2 linked regions of the Xenopus tropicalis genome follow. The protein of the gene in region 1 purifies or fractionates together with the protein of each later gene. This does not show direct contact. Links are inferred from orthologs where the notes say so. Each region holds a gene or a part of one and is shown in the gene's direction. Other genes may lie near its edges.

The links. Proteins that work in one complex are often made in the same cells at the same time.
Region 2: the proteins of map3k2 (region 1) and traf7 purify together in Homo sapiens (affinity purification with mass spectrometry; 3 studies listed by BioGRID and IntAct, with this or other methods). This does not show direct contact. The link is inferred for Xenopus tropicalis from reciprocal best matches to the Homo sapiens genes MAP3K2 and TRAF7.

The regions. Positions count from the first base shown.
Region 1 is NC_030685.2:86,477,504-86,481,634, forward strand, and holds the start of map3k2 (mitogen-activated protein kinase kinase kinase 2), read left to right. Parts: upstream 1-1,331; 5' UTR 1,332-1,697; intron 1,698-4,131. UniProt on the Homo sapiens protein: Component of a protein kinase signal transduction cascade. Regulates the JNK and ERK5 pathways by phosphorylating and activating MAP2K5 and MAP2K7. Plays a role in caveolae kiss-and-run dynamics.
Region 2 is NC_030685.2:19,240,272-19,243,223, forward strand, and holds the end of traf7 (E3 ubiquitin-protein ligase TRAF7), read left to right. Parts: intron 1-808; coding exon 809-928; intron 929-1,067; coding exon 1,068-1,082; 3' UTR 1,083-2,452; downstream 2,453-2,952. UniProt on the Homo sapiens protein: E3 ubiquitin and SUMO-protein ligase that plays a role in different biological processes such as innate immunity, inflammation or apoptosis. Potentiates MAP3K3-mediated activation of JUN/AP1 and DDIT3 transcriptional regulators.

The DNA.
Region 1 (4,131 bases):
ATCATTTACAGTAGGGGGTACATTATCCCTTATAATACATGAGTGATACTCAGAGTTCCCTGTATAACTCAGCCTGCAGCCTTGTGCCTTTATATGGGGGGCACAGAACCCCTCAGTGACTGCTAATATCCTTATCATTTACAGTAGGGGGTACATTATCCTTATAATACATGAGTGATACTCAGAGTTCCCTGTATAACTCAGCCTGCAGCCTTGTGCCTTTATATGGGGGGCACAGAACCCCTCAGTGACTGCTAATATCCTTATCATTTACAGTAGGGGGTACATTATCCCTTATAATACATGAGTGATACTCAGAGTTCCCTGTATAACTCAGCCTGCAGCCTTGTGCCTTTATATGGGGGGCACAGAACCCCTCAGTGACTGCTAATATCCTTATCATTTACAGTAGGGGGGTACATTATCCCTTATAATACATGAGTGATACTCAGAGTTCCCTGTATAACTCAGCCTGCAGCCTTGTGCCTTTATATGGGCACAGAACCCCTCAGTGACTGCTAATAGCCTTATCATTTACAGTAGGGGGTACATTATCCCTTATAATACATGAGTGATACTCAGAGTTCCCTGTATAACTCAGCCTGCAGCCTTGTGCCTTTATATGGGGGGCACAGAACCCCTCAGTGACTGCTAATATCCTTATCATTTACAGTAGGGGGTACATTATCCTTATAATACATGAGTGATACTCAGAGTTCCCTGTATAACTCAGCCTGCAGCCTTGTGCCTTTATATGGGGGGCACAGAACCCCTCAGTGACTGCTAATATCCTTATCATTTACAGTAGGGGGTACATTATCCCTTATAATACATGAGTGATACTCAGAGTTCCCTGTATAACTCAGCCTGCAGCCTTGTGCCTTTATATGGGGGGCACAGAACCCCTTAATGTTGTCTATTAACAACTTGACATTATTTCCTTGAATAAAACCTTTATGAGACAAACTCCATGGAATGGAAGAGAAGGGCCACCCCGGTCTAACGCGGTATAAGGCGACACTGATATACTACAAGTGATACATTATCAACCGAATGTGTTTTTTTATTCCACATTTCTATGAAAATTAAACACGAGCAAAACCCCCTCACAAGTAGGGAACTCTATCACTTTAAATCTGAACGCTCAGCTTCCGCATCTCCGTGAGCTTCACAACTACAACTCCCAGAATTCCGTCGTTGAGAGTTTACGCAAGCCAATCGAATTGCGCATGTGCTTGAGCCATCCCCTGTTGAAATGACAGACAAGGCTGTGGGCCAATAAGCTGAAAGTTTTGTCTCTAGGCGATGACAGCCGTGCTCCTCCCCTTTATTGACGCCTCCGTGCTTGTCTCTGCTGGCGCTAGCCCCTCCCCCCTGTGACGTGCGCGTACTCGGTCCCGTAGTCCCAGGTTCACACGCTCGGTTTGGTTCCGTCGCTCCTTATTAATTAACCCTTACGCCGCGGCTGCCTTTTCGTAAGCGGAGCAGTTACGGGGCCTGTGCAAGTTCCGAGGGTTCCGGGATGGCCGCCATTTTGTGAAGAGCGGGCCCAGTTCGGAATAACACTGCCGCCGCTGCCCCCGGGCCTGTGACCCCCCGCCCCCCCCGGGAGGAACAGGCTGGGGGCGGGGGATTGCTGGAGTCGGAGCTGCAAGGGCTTCTGGGAAGTACAACCGGGCCCCCGGCTCAGCTGACAGGTATAAGGGCCACACATTCATTTTAAAGGGGGCTGCAGGCTTTGGGGGGGTTGTGTTGGGGGGCTATTAGTGTTTATGGAACTCTGAGGGGGGGGGAATTCATTGGGGGCTGTTATGGGGGAGGGACAACTGTAAAGGGGGGGTGCTATGGGCATTACAGGGGGGCTATATGATGTATTGGGGCTGGGGAGCAATGTCTGAGGGTGTCATGGGGGGGCAAGTGTGGCTAATATTTGTGTTTGCCATGGGAATCAGCTGCTATCTGCTACATTGTGTCAGCAGTCACAGCCAGCAGTGCAGCAGTCAGAAGCAATTGCCTTGGCAAGTACATTAAACCCACAGAGAATGAGGGAAGAAAGTGTATGGTGATTGGAATGGTATTTTCTCTTATTATACAGAATAGGGGAGCTACTTACATATAATATAAACCCAATAGGGCTGTTCTGCCCCCAATAAGGGGTAATTATATCTTAGTTGGGATCAAGTACAGGTACTGTTTTATTATTACAGAGAAAAGGGAATCATTTAACCATGAAATAAACCCAATAGGGCTGTTCTGCCCCCAATAAGGGGTAATTATATCTTAGTTGGGATCAAGTACAGGTACTGTTTTATTATTACAGAGAAAAGGGAATCATTTAACCATTAAATAAACCCAATAGGGCTGTTCTGCCCCAATAAGGGGTAATTATATCTTAGTTGGGATCAAGTACAGGTACTGTTTTATTATTACAGAGAAAAGGGAATCATTTAACCATTAAATAAACCCAATAGGGCTGTTCTGCCCCAATAAGGGGTAATTATATCTTAGTTGGGATCAAGTACAGGTACTGTTTTATTATTACAGAGAAAAGGGAATCATTTAACCATTAAATAAACCCAATAGGGCTGTTCTGCCCCAATAAGGGTAATTATATCTTAGTTGGGATCAAGTACAGGTACTGTTTTATTATTACTGAGAAAAGGGAATCATTTAACCATTAAATAAACCCAATAGGGCTGTTCTGCCCCCAATAAGGGGTAATTATATCTTAGTTGGGATCAAGTACAGGTACTGTTTTATTATTACAGAGAAAAGGGAATCATTTAACCATGAAATAAACCCAATAGGGCTGTTCTGCCCCCAATAAGGGGAAATTATATCTTATTTGGGATCAAGTACAGGTACTGTTTTATTATTACAGAGAAAAGGGAATCATTTTTAAAAATTAGAATTATTTGCTTATAATGGAGTCTATAGGAGATGACACTTCCGTAATTCTGAGCTTTCTGGATAACGGGTTTCCAGATAATGGCTCCCATACCTGTACTAAGGCTTTATAGTCGCTGTTGCAGAGATACATTGACCGGAAGATCTCATAAACTCATCAGATTTAGTAGCGCCCGACAGGATCTGGTGTTGTTGCACGCAGTGTAGCTCAGCCCTAAGGGGATCAGTCAGGGACGGGGGAGATTCCTGGGAGCTGATCCAGCAAGTCATGCAATCCAGTGGTGTAAATTAGCTGCTTGTTTCTGGTGGGGGGGCTAGAAGCATTGACGGATAGGGGCTGTGCAGTAAGTCACTAAACTTGCTCTCATTTTTAGGCAACTAGATTTTCCAGCTTCTCCAGTTGCAGCCTGTACAGGTCCAAACAGATATGGTTTGGGAAGGGCAATTGTTTGGCCCCGTGCTATGGTCACTGCTCTGCAGAGGAACTAGGGATGCACCAAATACACTATTTCTGGGTCGTGCTTGCTTAAATTTGTTTTACTTTGTGTTTATGTGGCCAAAAGGCACATGATTTTAAGGATTTGGTTCAACCAGGCCATATCCGAATCCTGCATAAAAAGGCAGAATCTTGGCCGAATCCTGGATTTGGTGCATCCCTAATAGGAACACTAAGACGGCCTCTAAAATCAGCCTGGATAGGGTGCTGGTAACCACCTGTAAGTAAAGGAATACAGATATGGGATCTTGTATGCGGAAACCCATTATCCAGATGAATTCCGTTCTGAATTACGGAAAGGCCATCTCCCATTGACTCCATTATAAGCAAATAAATTCAGAATTTTAAAAGTGATTTCCTTTTCTCTGTAATAATAAAACAGTACCTGTACTTGATCCCAACTAAGATATAATTACCCCTTATTGGGGGCAGAACAGCCCTATTGGGTTTATTTCATGGTTAAATGATTCCCTTTTCTCTGTAATAATAAAACAGTACCTGTACTTGATCCCAACTAAGATATAATTACCCCTTATTGGGGCAGAACAGCCCTATTGGGTTTATTTCATGGTTAAATGATTCCCTTTTCTCTGTAATAATAAAACAGTACCTGTACTTGATCCCAACTAAGATATAATTACCCCTTATTGGGGGCAGAACAGCCCTATTGGGTTTATTTCATGGTTAAATGATTCCCTTTTCTCTGTAATAATAAAACAGTACCTGTA
Region 2 (2,952 bases), about 67 Mb from region 1:
GGCCCCCACTGACATAATCAGCCTGCAAACAAGTAATGGACTGAATAATCAGCTCAGTTGTTTGTTCCACTCGTAAGCCATGTCCAAGCCAGTAGGTGCAGTGACCAATCATAGGTCATCTCTCCTAGATAATGTATGTTTATGGCAGCCTATTGTGTCAGTGCAGACATTTGGGGAAAAATTAACCACCACCTCTGGAGGAAGGTCTCCTTAGAAGAACATTCTGCCCACAGGCCAAAAATGTCAGCATTGCACCCTCTGGTTGATATCAAGCCTGGACTGGCAATCTGTGGGTTCTGGCAAATGCCAGAGGGGCTGCTGTAAGATGCCATAGACGGTCACTATTTATTGGGCTGGGGGGGGCTGTTTGGGCCTCTGTGTACTTGAAATGCCTATTTTGTATCCCAGGCCTGGTTGCTATTGAACTCTTCCCATCCACCCATAGGGCATTGCAGCTCCCCAGCAGCAGAAGATGCCAAAAATGTCAGCATTGCACCCTCTGGTTGATATCAAGCCCGGACTGGCAATCTGTGGGTTCTGGCAAATGCCAGAGGGGCTGCTGTAAGATGCCATAGACAGTCACTATTTATTGGGCTGGGGGGGGCTGTTTGGGCCTCTGTGTACTTGAAATGCCTATTTTGTATCCCAGGCCTGGTTGCCATTGAACTCTCTTCTCAGCCACCCATAGGGCATTGCAGCTCCCCAGCAGCAGAAGATGCCATGTTGGACATGTTTGTGCTTGGGTCATTGTGAAAACTGATTACATTGTATTTTCCCTGTCGTTACTTACTGATTCATGTTCCCACAGGTCTGGAGTATGGACAACATGATATGCACCCAGACGCTGCTAAGACATCAGGGTAGTGTCACCGCTCTGGCAGTGTCACGGGGGCGCCTCTTCTCTGGTGCAGTGGACAGTACAGTGAAGGTAGGTTTAGTCCATCTTCTTTAGGAACATATCATGCTGATATATATATATATATATGAGGCTGCAAGTGACGAGAAACCTACAGAGCCCTCAAGCCTCATCATATAATGTACTGACATATATCTGCTCTCTGTCCTAGGTCTGGACTTGCTAAATGGTGCGTGCAAAGCCCAAGGCAGACTCAGCAAATCATGTCCCATAACCTGGCATTTATACCGCTGCTGGTTGGAGGATCTGCCACAGTGCCAGCCACGTGTTTGCAGCAGACTTTTTTTTTATACTTCACAATGGACACTTTGGGCTGGCAGACCTTTTAGGCCGGGCTTGGAAGGGCGTTCACGCAAAATTGGGAGACACTGACTTTCTTCAGGCTGGATTGTCCTTATTCTGCTCCTGTGATGCTGAAACTCTAAGCTGCTTTGCAGAGGGGTGAAACCTTCACTACTGCTCGTGTACTTGTGTAAATAGCCTGCATCACTAGCACTTTCCAGTGTGAGGAAGGGACTCGGCTGCCACACTCACCAAACACAACCAAACCCACTCTCTTTAGCTGCAGCTTTTACCTTCTCCTCAAGCAACCTAATACTGTGGGTCAGCACCTGTGGGGGCATCTCCTGGCACCACATACTGTAGTTGGTGTGTTTGTTCTACAGCTTGGCACCGTCAGGCAGAGGGAAGGTTTCGCTCAATGTGATTTCTTTACACTAAGGATGCAATTACTGTGATATAGATAATTACGGGGCAGTCTGAATGCCAAACCCTTCTGGTAGGCTCTTTCCAGAGGAGACCGAACACCCTGTCATATCTGGGTGATTGTCCGCGTTAGTGTCCAGACTATTTACAGTATGAGTGAGATAGATAATCTGGAAGTATCTTCTTTACTGCAAATCATGAAGCCAAGTGTTTGTATAGCAAAGGATGAGAGTGTGGGGTCCCGGTTAGCGCAGACAATGCTCGTCCAGTCACCGTGTAATCTTTATAGTCACGGTTTTGTACGTTGTACTTGTGCAAGTGATGGAAGCCGCGCCGTAAGCACCACATATGCACGTTCTTTCTAATAACTATGTACATATGGGGCCCCCCACAAAGGACTTTGAATAATGAAATGGTGCTGTAATTTCCTTCCCTTGACGGCGTTGCCAAATCTGCAGGGGTCCATAGCGATGTGAGTGTTATACACTGACCCGCAACACTAATGCATCTTCCTCATTGGTGGTCTCACATCTATACAAACAGCCTCGCAAGCACTCCGGTCACACAGGACTGTGCAGAAACTGGTATATTTAATGTGAGAATCCCATCACTTTCCAAGCATTTGACAGCAGCCAATATCCCAGGTACGCTTATTCCCATATCTCACCTAGTCCGACTCCCCAACCTCCCACTCCACATGCAATGATATCCATTTATAGCTCACTGTTTTCTACTGTTTTTAAGGCCTGTATGATAGAATGACTGGACAACTGATTATTTCCTTTCTAATAAAATTGCAGCTAAGGCTGTCGCCTCATTGGTTTCCAAAGATCCCATTTTTGTTGGCTATATTATGTGGAATGTTGCTGGTAATAGATTGTGCATGATTTTATACTTTTAAACTGGCCATACTGTACACTATTAGATACACTCATTTGGTTAGGCTGACTCTGTGTGTGGCCAAATACCATTCGGACCCCTGGGCAATGACAGGATTGGAATATGGGCCTAGAAAGAGCTTGCCAGCTGAGAAGCACATCAGTGCAACAATGCAGTCCTCACCAGATGGCACTGATTTTTGCCTAGAGATTGGTTAGACAAAAAGCCCTTACCAGAGTTGGTGGCTTTTAATGGTCCATGTATGGCCACCTTAGCTGTCTCTGCTGTATTGGTAGCAAGCCCCAAGGCACATGGAAAGGTTTCAGGCAGTTTGACTGCTGCATTCCATGCTAAAATATGTAATCAAATGAATTCTGTTAATGGGAGTAAAGTGAACACATTATCATTGGATCCGATATGCAGAAATGGGGGCTAGAGCCTGTTGAAAGCAG